Linked DNA regions of Ovis aries. The main gene of each other region encodes a partner of the protein of the gene in region 3 in a complex. Links are inferred from orthologs where the notes say so. Each region holds a gene or a part of one and is shown on either strand. Other genes may lie near its edges.

Evidence for each region. Proteins that work in one complex are often made in the same cells at the same time.
Region 1: the proteins of KLHL3 (region 3) and WNK3 are in contact, whole or in part, in a crystal structure (PDB 5NKP), measured with the Homo sapiens proteins. The link is inferred for Ovis aries from reciprocal best matches to the Homo sapiens genes KLHL3 and WNK3. Residues at the interface, in NP_059111.2 of Homo sapiens: Lys312, Arg339, Phe355, Gly357, Arg360, Thr386, Phe402, Gly404, Ser405, Gly407, Ser432, Ser433, Tyr449, Gly451, Arg454, Cys456, Ser481, His498, Arg528, Tyr577; in NP_065973.2 of Homo sapiens: Glu537, Cys538, Glu539, Glu540, Thr541, Glu542, Val543, Asp544, Gln545, His546.
Region 2: the proteins of KLHL3 (region 3) and CUL3 are in contact, whole or in part, in a crystal structure (PDB 4HXI), measured with the Homo sapiens proteins. The link is inferred for Ovis aries from reciprocal best matches to the Homo sapiens genes KLHL3 and CUL3. Residues at the interface, in NP_059111.2 of Homo sapiens: Pro73, Tyr74, Ala77, Met78, Asp82, Met83, Ser84, Glu85, Glu92, Ile93, Lys94, Asp95, Pro125, Ser128, Leu129, Gln131, Met133, Arg136, Asp160, Val161, His162, Thr163, Thr165; in NP_003581.1 of Homo sapiens: Ile44, Asn49, Ser50, Gly51, Leu52, Ser53, Phe54, Glu55, Leu57, Tyr58, Arg59, Tyr62, Thr63, Leu66, Lys68, Met118, Asp121, Ile122, Met124, Tyr125, Arg128, Val129, Gln133.

What each region holds. Positions count from the first base shown.
Region 1 is NC_056080.1:52,394,353-52,398,889, forward strand, and holds the start of WNK3 (serine/threonine-protein kinase WNK3), read right to left. Parts: upstream 3,091-4,537; 5' UTR 2,901-3,090; exon of another isoform or gene 2,769-2,900; intron 2,280-2,768; exon of another isoform or gene 2,096-2,279; intron 1-2,095.
Region 2 is NC_056055.1:226,744,414-226,748,876, reverse strand, and holds the start of CUL3 (cullin-3), read left to right. Parts: upstream 1-1,373; 5' UTR 1,374-1,659; coding exon 1,660-1,725; intron 1,726-4,463. UniProt on the Homo sapiens protein: Core component of multiple cullin-RING-based BCR (BTB-CUL3-RBX1) E3 ubiquitin-protein ligase complexes which mediate the ubiquitination and subsequent proteasomal degradation of target proteins.
Region 3 is NC_056058.1:46,717,972-46,721,878, reverse strand, and holds part of KLHL3 (kelch-like protein 3), read left to right. Parts: intron 1-3,202; coding exon 3,203-3,331; intron 3,332-3,907. UniProt on the Homo sapiens protein: Substrate-specific adapter of a BCR (BTB-CUL3-RBX1) E3 ubiquitin ligase complex that acts as a regulator of ion transport in the distal nephron.

The DNA.
Region 1 (4,537 bases), on a different chromosome or scaffold from region 3:
AAGAAAATAACTTTCCTGCCTGCTTCCCAAAAGAAGTACAGTAATAAAAATATGTACAAGGTGTGATAGGACCACTAAAGAGGGGCTGATGGAGGATGCTGGGAAAAGGAAAAATGGGGGAGCAGGAAAGGCTTTCATGAATAATGACAGAGCTAAGTATAAAAAGAATGAATTAAAATTTAATGGGAGGGAGAGAGAGAATTCCAGATTTGGGGGGGCAGGGGGCGGGATCAGAAGCAAAGCCAGAGAGATGAACACCACAAATCTGCTTATGCTATTCACTCCTTGGTAAATAGTCAAAGGCTCCTAACTCTGCAGGGTAGTCCTTCACTCCAGCCTCAACCTGAGATTCCAGCCTTATCTCATTCCATTCTCCAAATATACCATGCTTACACTCTCCTGCCTCAATACTTGAATGTTCTTCCACTCCAAGAACATCTAGTTTGAAATTGGGAGACCAGCTTGCCTGCTAGAGTTGGTGCAACATTTCCAGACTTTCATGGTGCTTTTATACTTTTATTCTACTGCTTAGTATACTAAGTATTCATTTAATCAAAGAGAATATGAACGAAGTATTAACTTTTTAAACTCTGGGTAGCCAAAACAAGGATTACACTCTTTCCAACATCAAAGCAGAATAAAAGAAAAAGAGCATGGGAAAGTTCTCAAATTTGCAACATTTCCAAGATAAATGAATATGTCATTAAAGTTTGTAAAAAGTAAGCATGAAAAGTTAGAAACCCATAAACTATTAATCTTGACCCAGAACAGAATGAGACCATCACAAGACATCCTTACCAGAAGATATGAATTTAGAGAACAGCATGTCCAAGTAATCTGCAGTGATTTAAACTCACGCCAAAAAGTGTCAATTTTCAAACAAGGTAAATTCAGATTAATGGAAAAAATCACATATAATTATTTGAGCATTCAAAATCAGTATTTTAGCTATCCTTTAATGCAAGGTATCTTTCCTTTGGAGTGCTGACTTTAAAACAATTTTTAAATTCATCAACCCAAATGATAGAGACTGTCTAGAAGACACCTACTGTTTTGTTGTCATATATGGAGACCTCTTTAAAGTTCTCTTGGTATTACAGTTTACTACAGATGAAAAACAGGTAACAATGCCTCCCCAAATTGAGTGCAATCATCACTATACAGATGATTTCCACAACTTAAAGGCTATTTATCATACAATTGCTTCAGTCCACAGTAACTCTTAAGAAGTAATAGCCATACCACTTGCATCTGTTTTGAGGGTTCAATCTCTTTTTAACAAGGTCTATCAACTCTCAAGATAGGGAGATACACACGTGCAGGATATCCACCCACAACCCACTACATAAATGTTTCACCGTTCTTAACTAGACAAACAAAACCTCCTACAGTACAGTACACCACTTTCATACTAACCTCACCATACCATCTCCTTCCCATCCGATCAGTCACAGAACACACCGTTCCCAAATAACACCTCTCAATCTCCTTGAACCTAACCCATTAACACAACCAGCCAGCAGCATTCTTCACAAGGATACAGTCCTATCGACCTTCACACGTCAACCGAATCTCTAAATTAAATTCACTTTCCCTCATACACTGAAACTCAACTTCCAAAACCCGACGCGATCCTCGCTTTCAATCTCACTTAAATGATCACTCAGTTTTTTGTCAACCGTCACCCGGTCCCCTCACGTAACCGCCTCACCTTACCCCCCATCCCCTAGTCTCCCATCAACTCCCAAAGTTGCCACTCCTCAACGAAAATGACACACAAAAAAATGTACCTCAAACCTGCCCTTCCCCACTTTCCCCCTCCGAATTTTCCTCTCAGCCTGTTGGCTCACACCGAAAACAGCTCCGACAACTCTTAACGACCCGAGCCGGGCCTCGTCCCACACGTCTCGGCGACTGCAATCACCCTGCCTCGGTCAAACCGCCCCCCACTAACGCGCTTACTCTGAACAGACTCTTGGTCGCCGCTGCCTCCCCTCCATTCATCCCCAGCCCATTCATCTCTCAGCCGGATCCCAGACACGCCCCCCGGCCTCCTCCCTCACTCCCACCGTCCCGGCCGGCTCGGGACCCTCACCAGATTAGAGGCTCTCGCTGAGGGAGACTCTTTGCTTCTCCCTCGCCCTCTTTCAAGCCTCCGCTCGCCCCTCGAGTAGCCACACCATAAAACATGCAGATACACACACACCGCCTCCTCTGTCGCCTCCTCAGATGCTTCTTACTCCCCTCCTAGATGTCTCGCGCTCCGCTCCGCGTTGTGTGCGCGTGCGCGCGCGAGCGTCTCAGCGCGAGCCCACCCGGCCAGCTACCGCCGGTAGGTAAAGAGAGGGCGGGGTTAAGGGAGCGGGGTACGAGCCCAAGCTCGCGCTTGCCCGGGAGCTGAGCAGGCGCACGCGTACTCCTGTCAGGGAATTCAGATAGAGGGGGACGGAAGGGGGCGAGGAAGGGAGGGGAAGAAAGGAGGGGGGAGGGGCTGAGAAAGCAGACGGAGCAGCCCCAACTCTGAACTGCCCCTATCGCAGCGAGGTGCCGAGTGGCTACCCAACTAGAGCGTGCGCACTCCTCTCCCACTCTCCTCAGCACAGTGGGAGAGAGGGATGTTCGTCAAGAGAAAGGCTTCGCTCTTTTCCAAAAAGAAAATATGTGGGGAGCCACGCGTGACATCTGTGTGTTCAAAAGCTCTCCACGGCTGCTTTACCCTCTTCCCTTCAAAAGAAAACCCAAGCACACACTTCTTCCTAGATACCCACCGCCCATTCTCAGTTCTCTACATGCCTCTAAATGCGGTTGCTCGGCCGAGATGTGGTACTCGCCAGCATCTTTTCACCCGCCACCCCTAACTCCCTTTTTCCAACTCTCGACTTTTCTCGCGAGACCCATACCTGCCGGCTTCGGGATTAGAAGTCGAAGCACACATTTACAAATACCGGTCTCCCGATTACGCTGCGACGGCAATAGCCATAGCATGTCCCCCCTACCCTCCAGGACTGCAGTGCGCGCGCGCGGGGGCTGGGCAACCACGAAAGCAGGGATGGAAAAGGGAAGCTATGAAACGGATTTTTGACGGCATGTAACCGCTAGGCCTGGGCACGTGCCCTGCGCCTCGTGGGCGGGTGCGGTGTACCCTGGGAATTGTAGTTTTTGTTCCCACCTCCAGTCCCACTCCCACCTCAGCCTTACTTAGGCCTCTGTCCAAGAGGGGGATTGCCGACACCATTTTGCCGGGAACAATGGCCCTCGGCCGAGGCAGCGGAGGGTGGGGGAGGGAATAATGTTTTAAGGGCTCAGTTAACCTCCCCTGGCCCCTCGGTGCCATAGCAACCCCTCAGAAACCTGGCCACTCCCCCTCGCTGCTCCGCCGGGCTCCAAGATTGCGCGCATGCGAAAAGGTCACCTCCCCCTGTGGCTGGCTCTCACCGTCTCCTGCAGTCCACCTCCCAGATTCACTAGTTAGTTGTTAGTGACTGCTACCTTCTTTGAGCTTTCACAGCAGGTTAACCTCCACGCAGTGACTTTATCTAAGAACTGCTTCCTGCACTGTATCAAGTGCAATACAGAATTGTTTCTATCACTCTCACGTGAGCAATCCTGACTCTCCAGAGGAGGAAACTGAGGCTTGGGGGGAGGGGGGGGAATGGACATGACTTGCTCAAGTTCTCATAACTATGTATGGAAGAGTCAGATCTTTAACCCAGGTGTGTTCACTCCAGAGCCCATGAAATTTTCAATCCCTCAGGTTGCATCTGGTATCAGAGACCCTGAAGAAAACTCCTAAAGGGTGGTATTTCTTTCTGAATGCCCTTCAAGCTTTTAGCAGGATGCTCTGAGGGTAGGAGGCTGTGTGCAAAATGCCAGGCTAATATTTTCAAATGCCCAACCTCGGGGCCCCATCACAGAGCTGTACTAATCTCTCCTTTCCACCATTTTCTTTTTCGCCCTGTACACCTCAGAACCTCAGCCTTTCTCAGCTCTTAAAAAGAATCAATAAATTTAACTGAGGTTTCCGAAGTCCAAAGGGAGTGGAATGATGGGAGACCTTGAAGCCCTTGTTTCTTGTCTTTGCACCTTTCATCTTGAAGGTCACTTATTAATCCTAGTATTGCCAGAAAATACAAGGAAACCAGACCCGTGTGTGCCCTTAATAAATCTACCCCCTTTCCATTTTTGACAAGTGAGGGAGACACTGAGGAACTAAATTCAGGACTATGAGGTTCAGCTATTCCACCTGTAGCTAAAATTGAAAGAGCAAGATGTAATTTTTTCAAATAGTGCAACTACCTTACCTGAAAGGTCTCTGTATTCCAAATTAGCTGCAGAACGGATGGGGTCTCCCAAACTGTCTTCCCTCACTGTCCCTGAAGATAGTTCCTTTTCCCTGCTGAATCCCAGGTGGCGCTAGTGGTAAGAACCTGCCTGCCAATGCAGGATACATAAGACGCGGGTCGCTGGGCACGGCAACCCACTCCAGTATTCTTGCCTGGAGAATCCCATGAACAGAGGAGCCGGACGGGCTATAGTC
Region 2 (4,463 bases), on a different chromosome or scaffold from region 3:
TCCAGTTCATTTATCAAAAAATAGAAAATAAAACCCCCCAGCTTCCAAATATTTAAAAAGAATTAAACTTCAGCTTAAAAGAAGGCATTAAGAATAAAATTTAAAAGTATTAACATTCTATTAATATTCATTCCAACAATAGGTTCTTACTTAAAAATGATATCACAAACTTTAGTGGGAACTCACATATTCCTCTGCAGTCAGAAATCCAACTATAACAATACAAAGAGGTAAATTAGGGTGTAAAATTCATAATGAAAAGCAAAACTGATGAATCAAACTAGACTTTTTGAATGCAATGCCAAACTTTTATTCCCTCAAATTATCAGCAAACTGAAAAGAAAGACAAAAATTTTGGCTTTCAAAATGTATCATACTCTTAAAATGACTTGGCAGGTTAAGGTTAGGTTTCCATTATTCTATTTTCTATTTAACACCATTTACCAAAATATTGCACTGAGTTAAGGGAGTTGTTATTTCAAAGGCAACGAAACACAAATTTTAATACTAGTAAGTTCTAGGTCTCTCAGACAACAGTGAATCAGTTTAAGGAAATTTTACGGATTTCCACCCCTCAATCTTGACAGCTGGAGTGTGCACATCCAATCCGAATACCTTGTTAGGCATACAGGACTCTACTTTCTGACACTGCATATATTAATAACTCCTGCACAAACTCTTCTTTCAACTTTCTGGCTTCTGGTCAAGTACCCATCCCTAGTCCACCTGCCCTAGAAAAACACAGGAACCAGTTTCAGGACGTGGTTATCCACCTAGCACCCTACGCTCCACCCCGAGACTACCCTCCTCTCGCTCTAGCCCAGCCCAGCCAAGCGGAGCCGAGCACTGCCTGCTACAGTCCGGCTCCGGCTCTCGGAACTTCCCCTGCCCACTCCGTCCACGTGAACAAGACCCCGCCCCCTCGCCCGGCGCTCCACCAATCAGCAGCCCCCTCACCCAGGATCCGGTCTTCAACGCTCCTCTTTCAAAAAGTCAGCTCACTCCTCCCGCCTCAGTCCCGCCCCTTTCCTACCTCTCCGCCCCGCTGGCCCACCTTCCCAAATCCCCGTTCCCTTCCTCCTCTCCCGTTGCCCCCTCCCGCTCGCAGGCTTCGCCCCGCCCCACCCGGGAAAGCGCGCTCGCCCTCTTCTCGCGAGATTTGAGCGTCCCCCTCCTCCTGCCGCGGCCGCCCGCCTCCCCCTTCTGTCCTCCCCCCCTCCCCCCAATCTCTCCACTCTCCGGCTCTCCTCCCTCCCTCCTCCCCCCTCCACCCTCTGGGCCGGATCTCGTCTCGCTGAGGCGGAGGAGGAGAAGGAGGAGGAGGAGGACGTTCGGCCTGCGCAGTGAGATGTTTGTCCGTCGCCGCCGCCGCCGCCATCGCGGAGGAGCGCGATAAAGGGAGCCGAGCCGGGCGTGAGGGGGACCCCGCGGAGCCGCCGCGCCAGCGCAGTCCCCCAGCCGAGCCCGAGCCGCCGGAGACCGAGCCGCCGCTGCCCCCGCCGCGGCCGCCCAGGGGCCGGCCAGCTCCCCAGCCCAGCCCGGGGGCCGCGCCGCCGCCGCCGCCCCCAGCGTCGCCCCTCGCCTGCCCGCCCGCCTTAAATGTGACACCGGCGCCTCGGAGTGCGACCTGAAGCCGCCGCCGGGGAGGGGACGAGCACCATGTCGAATCTGAGCAAAGGCACGGGCAGCCGGAAGGACACCAAGATGCGGATCCGGGCCTTTCCGGTGAGTCTCTTCTCGGCGCCTGGGACCCCGGGTCGGGGGGCCCGGCCGACAGCCGCACGCGAGGCCCGGGCTGAACTCCCCCCCAACAGGCCGCAGGCCCGGCCTCCCATCCCCCACGCCGCCGGCCGCGGGGCGCGAGCCTTCCCGGCAACGGGGCGGCGCGGGGCCCCGGCGCGGCCACCCTCCGGGGCCGTTCCCCGCGCCCCCGGCATCCGAGGCCGGCGCCGCGCCCCCGCCCAGGAGCTGCGCCTCCGGTCGCCCCGCGGGCGTCGGCTGCGGCCGGGGCCCCTCGGCCGGTCCCGGCACCTCGCCGCGCTCCTGGGGTGTAGGCCCAACCCCTAGCACCCCGCTTCTGCTCGGTCCCCGGGACTCCCAGCCCTGCAGGGATGGGGATCGTCTACGTCCTCCTGGTGTGGGGCGTGTGTGTAACTTTTCACGTGAGGTTTCGCAGCAGTTGAAAAAAAATCACCATGCCTAAAGGATGGCCTGCTAAAAGATGCCGGGGACGGACCTCTCCCGATCTTCCCCTCCCCAGGAAGGGCTCTGCCGTCCACCTACCCTCTACGCGGTGACAGACGTTCCGCGTAATGCTCTGTAGTAATACACTAACAACGTCGGTGTGTTTACAGAATCTTTCATCCGCAACCTTCCAATGCACTTTACAAACTCTCCTGTGCAGGAATGGCCTAGCCACTCAAGGGGAAGTAAGACAAAACAAATGAGACGATTGGTTCTTCATTTCCTAGCCACGGAAGCCCAAAAGAATAAGTAGTCACCACCGTGAGTTGCTTTACTCTAGGTTTTAGTGACAGCAAAAGTATTTTTGTTTAGAAACTTTTTTGGCCTTAAATTAAGTCATACCCCTGCGGTGTTTAGTATTATATGGTATAACTTTGGATGTCGTATCTGAATCAGATAGCCAGTGGCAAGCAATTAGAGTGTACTCTTGGGACAGAGAAACTGGACATACTTGCTCATGTCGCTTCTGTAACAGGTAGACGTCAAGGTGGACAAACTAGCAATTGAATAGAAGATTTTAAACCAGGAAAACTATAGAGAAGAAGCTGTGGTTTCCTGTCTTAGAATCACAAGCACGTTATATTGAGTGGTGGGGGGCGGTGAAGAGGGTTTGTATTCACTTCTTAAAGCATGCTTTTTCTAAAGTACAGTTTGCACTTTAGAGGAAAAATTAATATAATTGTCCTAGTTGAGTAAGAAACCGACCTAGAGAACTTGAGGACCTCCCTGAATTCTTAAAATTTAGAAGGAAAAAATACACCTGATGCAGAATTCCCAGATGGTAATAAAAATGTTAATACCTATGTGAAGACTCTTCGGACTTTATGTAAATAAAGATAGGATATAATCAGGAGAATTAGATGTTTTAATGCACATTAAAGGGATTTTGAATTTCGGAAGTTTTTTCCCTAAGTAATCGTGAGAAAGTACAAAGAAAGTAACAAGTGTTGACAGAAGAGCACTAATGAAGTTCACTTGCACGTTTTTCTTTATAAACAGTGAACTGGGTTTATGAATTTGTGAGTAGTGATAGTTTTCCTACTGAATCAGTTCCTATTAAATAAGCAGAATCTAGAATTATTCAGAATTTCAAATAGTTTTATACATTTTTAAGAGAAGTTTGCTATTCTTGAAGTCTGACTTCTAATACAGATTATTGTTAAAAGGTGGAATAGCTCACATTTGACATCAACTCACTGTTGTGGATATTCTGATTAATCAGCTTTATCTTTATCTATGTGTAATCAACTCTTTGATCTCTTGGTTTGCCTGTCCCTACCTGTTTTTCCACTCCTTCATTCTTTTAGGAAATACTGAGGACTGTGTGCCAGGTACTGTTCTGGGGTCTTGGGATGTATCAGTATAGCTTCAGAGAACAATATCCCTCCTTTCTGGATCTTGTATTGTTGGGAAGAAGCTGTGGGAGAGAATTTTGTTCTTTTAGCTAAAGAGTATCAGAGTGTGTGACAGGTTACCACACAGCACTGAAGCTGACTTTTTTTTTCAGGCGCATTATGATAATGAACTAATTCAGACCTTTTCTTATCTGTAATTTGTTGCCCTCTTAAGTTTCTCTAAAATCCTTAAATGAAGTTTGCAAGTAGCTAGTGTTTGATATTCAGTACTTAGTATCTGCTAATTTTTAAAAATGTCTGAGAGTTTTAAATTTTCTCATGGGTATTAACATCACTCATGAGTAGTTCCTACAGTGAGAACCATTGCATTTTTTAAATATATAAATGTAAAAATCATAGTTCTTTGAACTTTCATTAAGGATGGCTACATAAAACCTCAGTGGTGTGATTTCAGTGATTTATTTGGTAAATGAATACTTAAGAGTTTCAGAATTTTTTTTCCTTCCAGGTTAGCAGTCATTTACCTAACTGTAGTCTGCATGGATTGCAAGTCAGAAGTAATAAATGCCTGTTATTCCATGAAGAAAATATTTTGTGTGTATTCATGTGTGCACACTTAAAACTACTGTATTTTACGATTTGAGATAAACAACTACTCTAAGGGAAATTGTAGTGTAAGCAGAGGCCTCAAATACTCCTTTCAGAGTGTTTTATAAAACTGATCTGTGAAAAAGTATAAAAATATGTTTGAAGATTGTTTTGTTATCTTTACAAAATAGTAAGTGATGGTACAGGATATTTTGTAAATGTGTAAACCTACCCCAGCTGTAGTCTCATCAGTAAAATCAGGTTCTGAGAAGTTGG
Region 3 (3,907 bases):
AGCGACAACGGATGGCTTCTTTTCCTGCCCTGGCCCCCGGGCCTTCTTCCAGTGTCCTGGCTCTGTTCCTCTCCTTACTGCCGAGTTGGATACTAGTTTCCTGATTAGCAGATGAGAGAGGTTGAGACTCAGAGAGGTGTAGCTACTGGCCCAAGGCTAGAAATTAGGTGAGCTGGACTGTGGGTACCAGGAGGAGCCTAGAGGGAAAATGCTGGGCTCTCGTTTTGGCTATTTATCTATATCACAAGATGGGAAGTCCAGAGTCAAGATATAACCCAGGAATACAGTGTGTTTGGGAGGGTGAGAGTCAGTTGTTTAATCAGTTTTGTCCTCATATTTTATGTCGAGGATTGTCAGCAGAGCCCTGAGTGAGGTGGGTGACTTTCCCCAGTTGTGATTAGTCTGGAGGGAAGGTTGGTGCTGGGTCCTGCTCAGTCAGGAATGATGCGTGTGGTGAGGTAGGAAGAGGGGTGTGGTCTGGGGCCTGGCTGGACAGCGCACTGGAGCGCCAAGCGCCTTCATATCCAGTTTCTCGTTTTGTTCCTAAAACTCTCTCGAAGGAGAAGGGCAGGACTTGGATTTCCTCTACTCTTCAGAAGGGGAAGCTGAGTCCCAAAGGAGTAATCAGTGTGCCTGTCCCACACTGGAAAAGAGCACAGTCACTCCTTGAACCCAGGTCTCCAGGTTCTAACTCAGACCATTGGCAAATGTTATTAATAACTGAGAGGAGTTTTAGAAATATATATGACTTCAACATATTAAACCATAGAGTATTATTTGTACTCAACTGCTATACTTCACAGGACAACACTGACTTATTAGCCTGTCCTGAAGTGGGAATTTAGTGGAGAATCTGTGCATTCACACAGGTACACAGGCATTTTCTCTTTCTCACGTGTACACACAGCTCACACGAGTGCTTCGGGGAGAGTGTTGGGCAGGGAGTTAGACATTAATAGGAATGTAATTTTCTCTTGCTGCATCTCTTGGTCTGTACCAGTATTACATAGTTTAAATTTTAATTTAAAAGTATATTGTTCTAACACACAGAACAAGTCACCTTAGTGAGTGCAAGGATTTTGTCCTCCTACCAAGATAAATTGCTTCTTGCAATCTCATCCTCCTGGTGAAACAGAAATTGATTTGTCTGCCAAGCATAAGTGCTTTGTCTAGCCACCTTCCCATTTCCCCCCTTGCTCCTTAGTCAGGAATATCAAACAATAGTGTAGGGGTTAAAAATAGCGTATCCCTGAAAGGAGAAACCTTGAATGGGTATTTTTTCAGCTGACATAGGGTTGAGATGGTTGATGGGAGTTAGAGGAGATGCCTTCATGGCGCTCATCAGAAATATTCCCCCTGACCCCCTTGACAGAGGCTTCTGTAAGCATGTTCTGCATGGCAGAAGTGCTGTGCGGTAGCACACCCTGTCAACACGGAGGACAGACTGGGGGTTTATTTATCTTCTCCATCCTGAATCTGAAGCTATTTCGGCTGCCGCCTCCCTCTCCTCATCTCCTTACCACGACATCACAGCCTGACTGACAACTGGGGACAAAAACAGGAAAACCAGGATCTTTAGCTACCAGCTGTCCTGAAGAATCTCTACGTAGAAAAAGGGACAGTGAGGCTGAGAGATGAGGCAGAAGCTCCCAACAGAGCAGAGATGGTGTATTTTAGAGACTGGGATTGCCCTCAGGAGCGTCTTGTCTCCTCCACACCGCTGGCCTGTCTCCTCCCTTGTGATGGATAACTGGCCAGGCAGGTGGTTACCTCTGAGCCAGCACACACTCCAAGAGTAGCTTGGGTCCTGGGGGAGCCTGTCTGAATCAGGGTTTTGCTTTCTGTCTCAAGAGCCAAAGGGCCGGTTGAGAGGGCTCTTGAGGCAGAAAACAAAACCAGGCTCAGTGATAGAAGAAGAAATAATTTTACATTTGATGCAGTAAAGTCTTGATGGTAAAACATTGTTCTTAGCCTGAGAATCTCTTTCTGACTTAAAATAACTGCAGATTTTTCACATATTGGTTGCATTCTTGGTGTGTCTCCATTAAGAAAGTACATATTGACCAAAAAGAAATCTTTTGATTAGGTAACCTTTTAAGTAGATTTGCATCTGGTGGTATTTATTTAGCCTGCAGCTAGTATACATCCTTATTATACACTTATTACAGTGTAGATCCTTATTATAACTCCAGGGTCCCCCATAGAACTGAGACCTCGGATGAAGTAGGACCCCCACACCCAGCACACACACACACAGAATCCCACTGCATTCTAAGGCTACATGTTAAACCCAAATGTTCAAATCTCTCTGGGAGAGCTCAAATACCAGTTTCCTGCCCCTTGCCCAACCTCACCACCATCCTTAGGCCAAAATGATGCTCTTCGATAATAGCTTACAGTACTTTATTATAAAAATAGGTGATGGTCAGCAGAAAGTAATACAACATTGTAAAGCAATTATCCTTCAATTTTTTTTTTTAAAGTTTAACTTGAATGTAATCCAATAGATCAATATTTTTCTTTAGGATTGCACTTTTTGTTTTTGGTTAAATAAATCTTTGCCTATTCCAAGATAAAGAAAAAAAATAGATGATGGTACTCCGAGGTTCTTGTGCATGGCTCAGAAATTGTAAGGGGATCTTACAGCAGATCAATTCCAGCCACTCTAGCCCAGAGTGCACACAGAGCACTCCATTCACACGCTTTGCCTGCCTGGGTGGTGGATAGAGTACAAAACATGTTGAAGACAATGTTTGGGTTCCTGTTGGAGAATATCTTTCTATATTTGTTCTGTTTGCTGTTGTGAGCCTTTAGCCAGACAGTCTGCCAGCCTGGCTGCAGCAGGGGCCCTTAAATTTTCCATCTCCCTGGTGCCTTGTTCCAGAGAAGATCTAATATAGTTCACCAGTGAGAATATGTTGAGCCCTGGTGACGCCAGGCCATAGCTTTACACTGGGTGTTTGGGGTGCTTTTTGAGATAAAGCTTCTGTACTGCTTTGAGGAGGAGCCCAGGACTTCAGAGGAAGTAGGAGGCAGAATCATGAAGGATGCTTGCTCTGTTTGGTCTTCCTGGGGAAGGAGCCCTGAACCCCGATGGAGGTGAGGGTGTGCTGGTGGGTTACAGGCGGAATTTCAGCTACGCTCCAGTTTCATGCCAGGGTCCAAAACACCCTCCCACCCCTGGCCACTTTGTCTGTTCCAGGGAAGCTGTATGCTGTCGGGGGCTATGATGGGGCCTCTCGCCAGTGCCTGAGCACCGTGGAGCAGTACAACCCAGCGACCAATGAGTGGACATATGTGGCGGACATGAGCACTCGCCGCAGCGGCGCAGGTATGGGGTGGGGTAGGGAGTTGGGGTTCAGGGGGCAGGCCGTGTTTGTTCTCACCGGTGGGTCTGGAGGCCAAAAGCTTAACGTTCTACCTTATTTTCCCTCCCTCTTGTCTGCTTTCAGTGTATGTAATCCCACTCGCACCTTTGCAACGAGTTAACCTTTCTCAGGGGGATCCCTCTGTAGAGAACCAGTGGGATCATATTCCCTTCATTGTCATCTCTTCCATTTGTTTGGAGGTGTCCACATCTCTTGAAAGTGAAACTTGCTGTGTGCCGGGTGCTGTCCTAATAAGCACTTTCTATGTCTCATTTATGTTTAATCCTCATCACAGCCCTGCAGGGGTTCACCATATAGCTCACACCATGTAACTCCACTTAGCAGGTTTAGAAAGTGAGCCATCCAGGGGTTAATTAGCCCAAGGTCCTGTCATTCATCATTTTCATTAGTCACTGGCAGAATCAGGATTCCTACTCAGGTCTGTCTCCCTTCAAAGTTAGCTTTTTCTGACCTCAGATGATCTGAATCTCGTTCTTATGAAGTCCCAGTCTTCCCTGGAAAAGCTAAAGCTTGCCTGT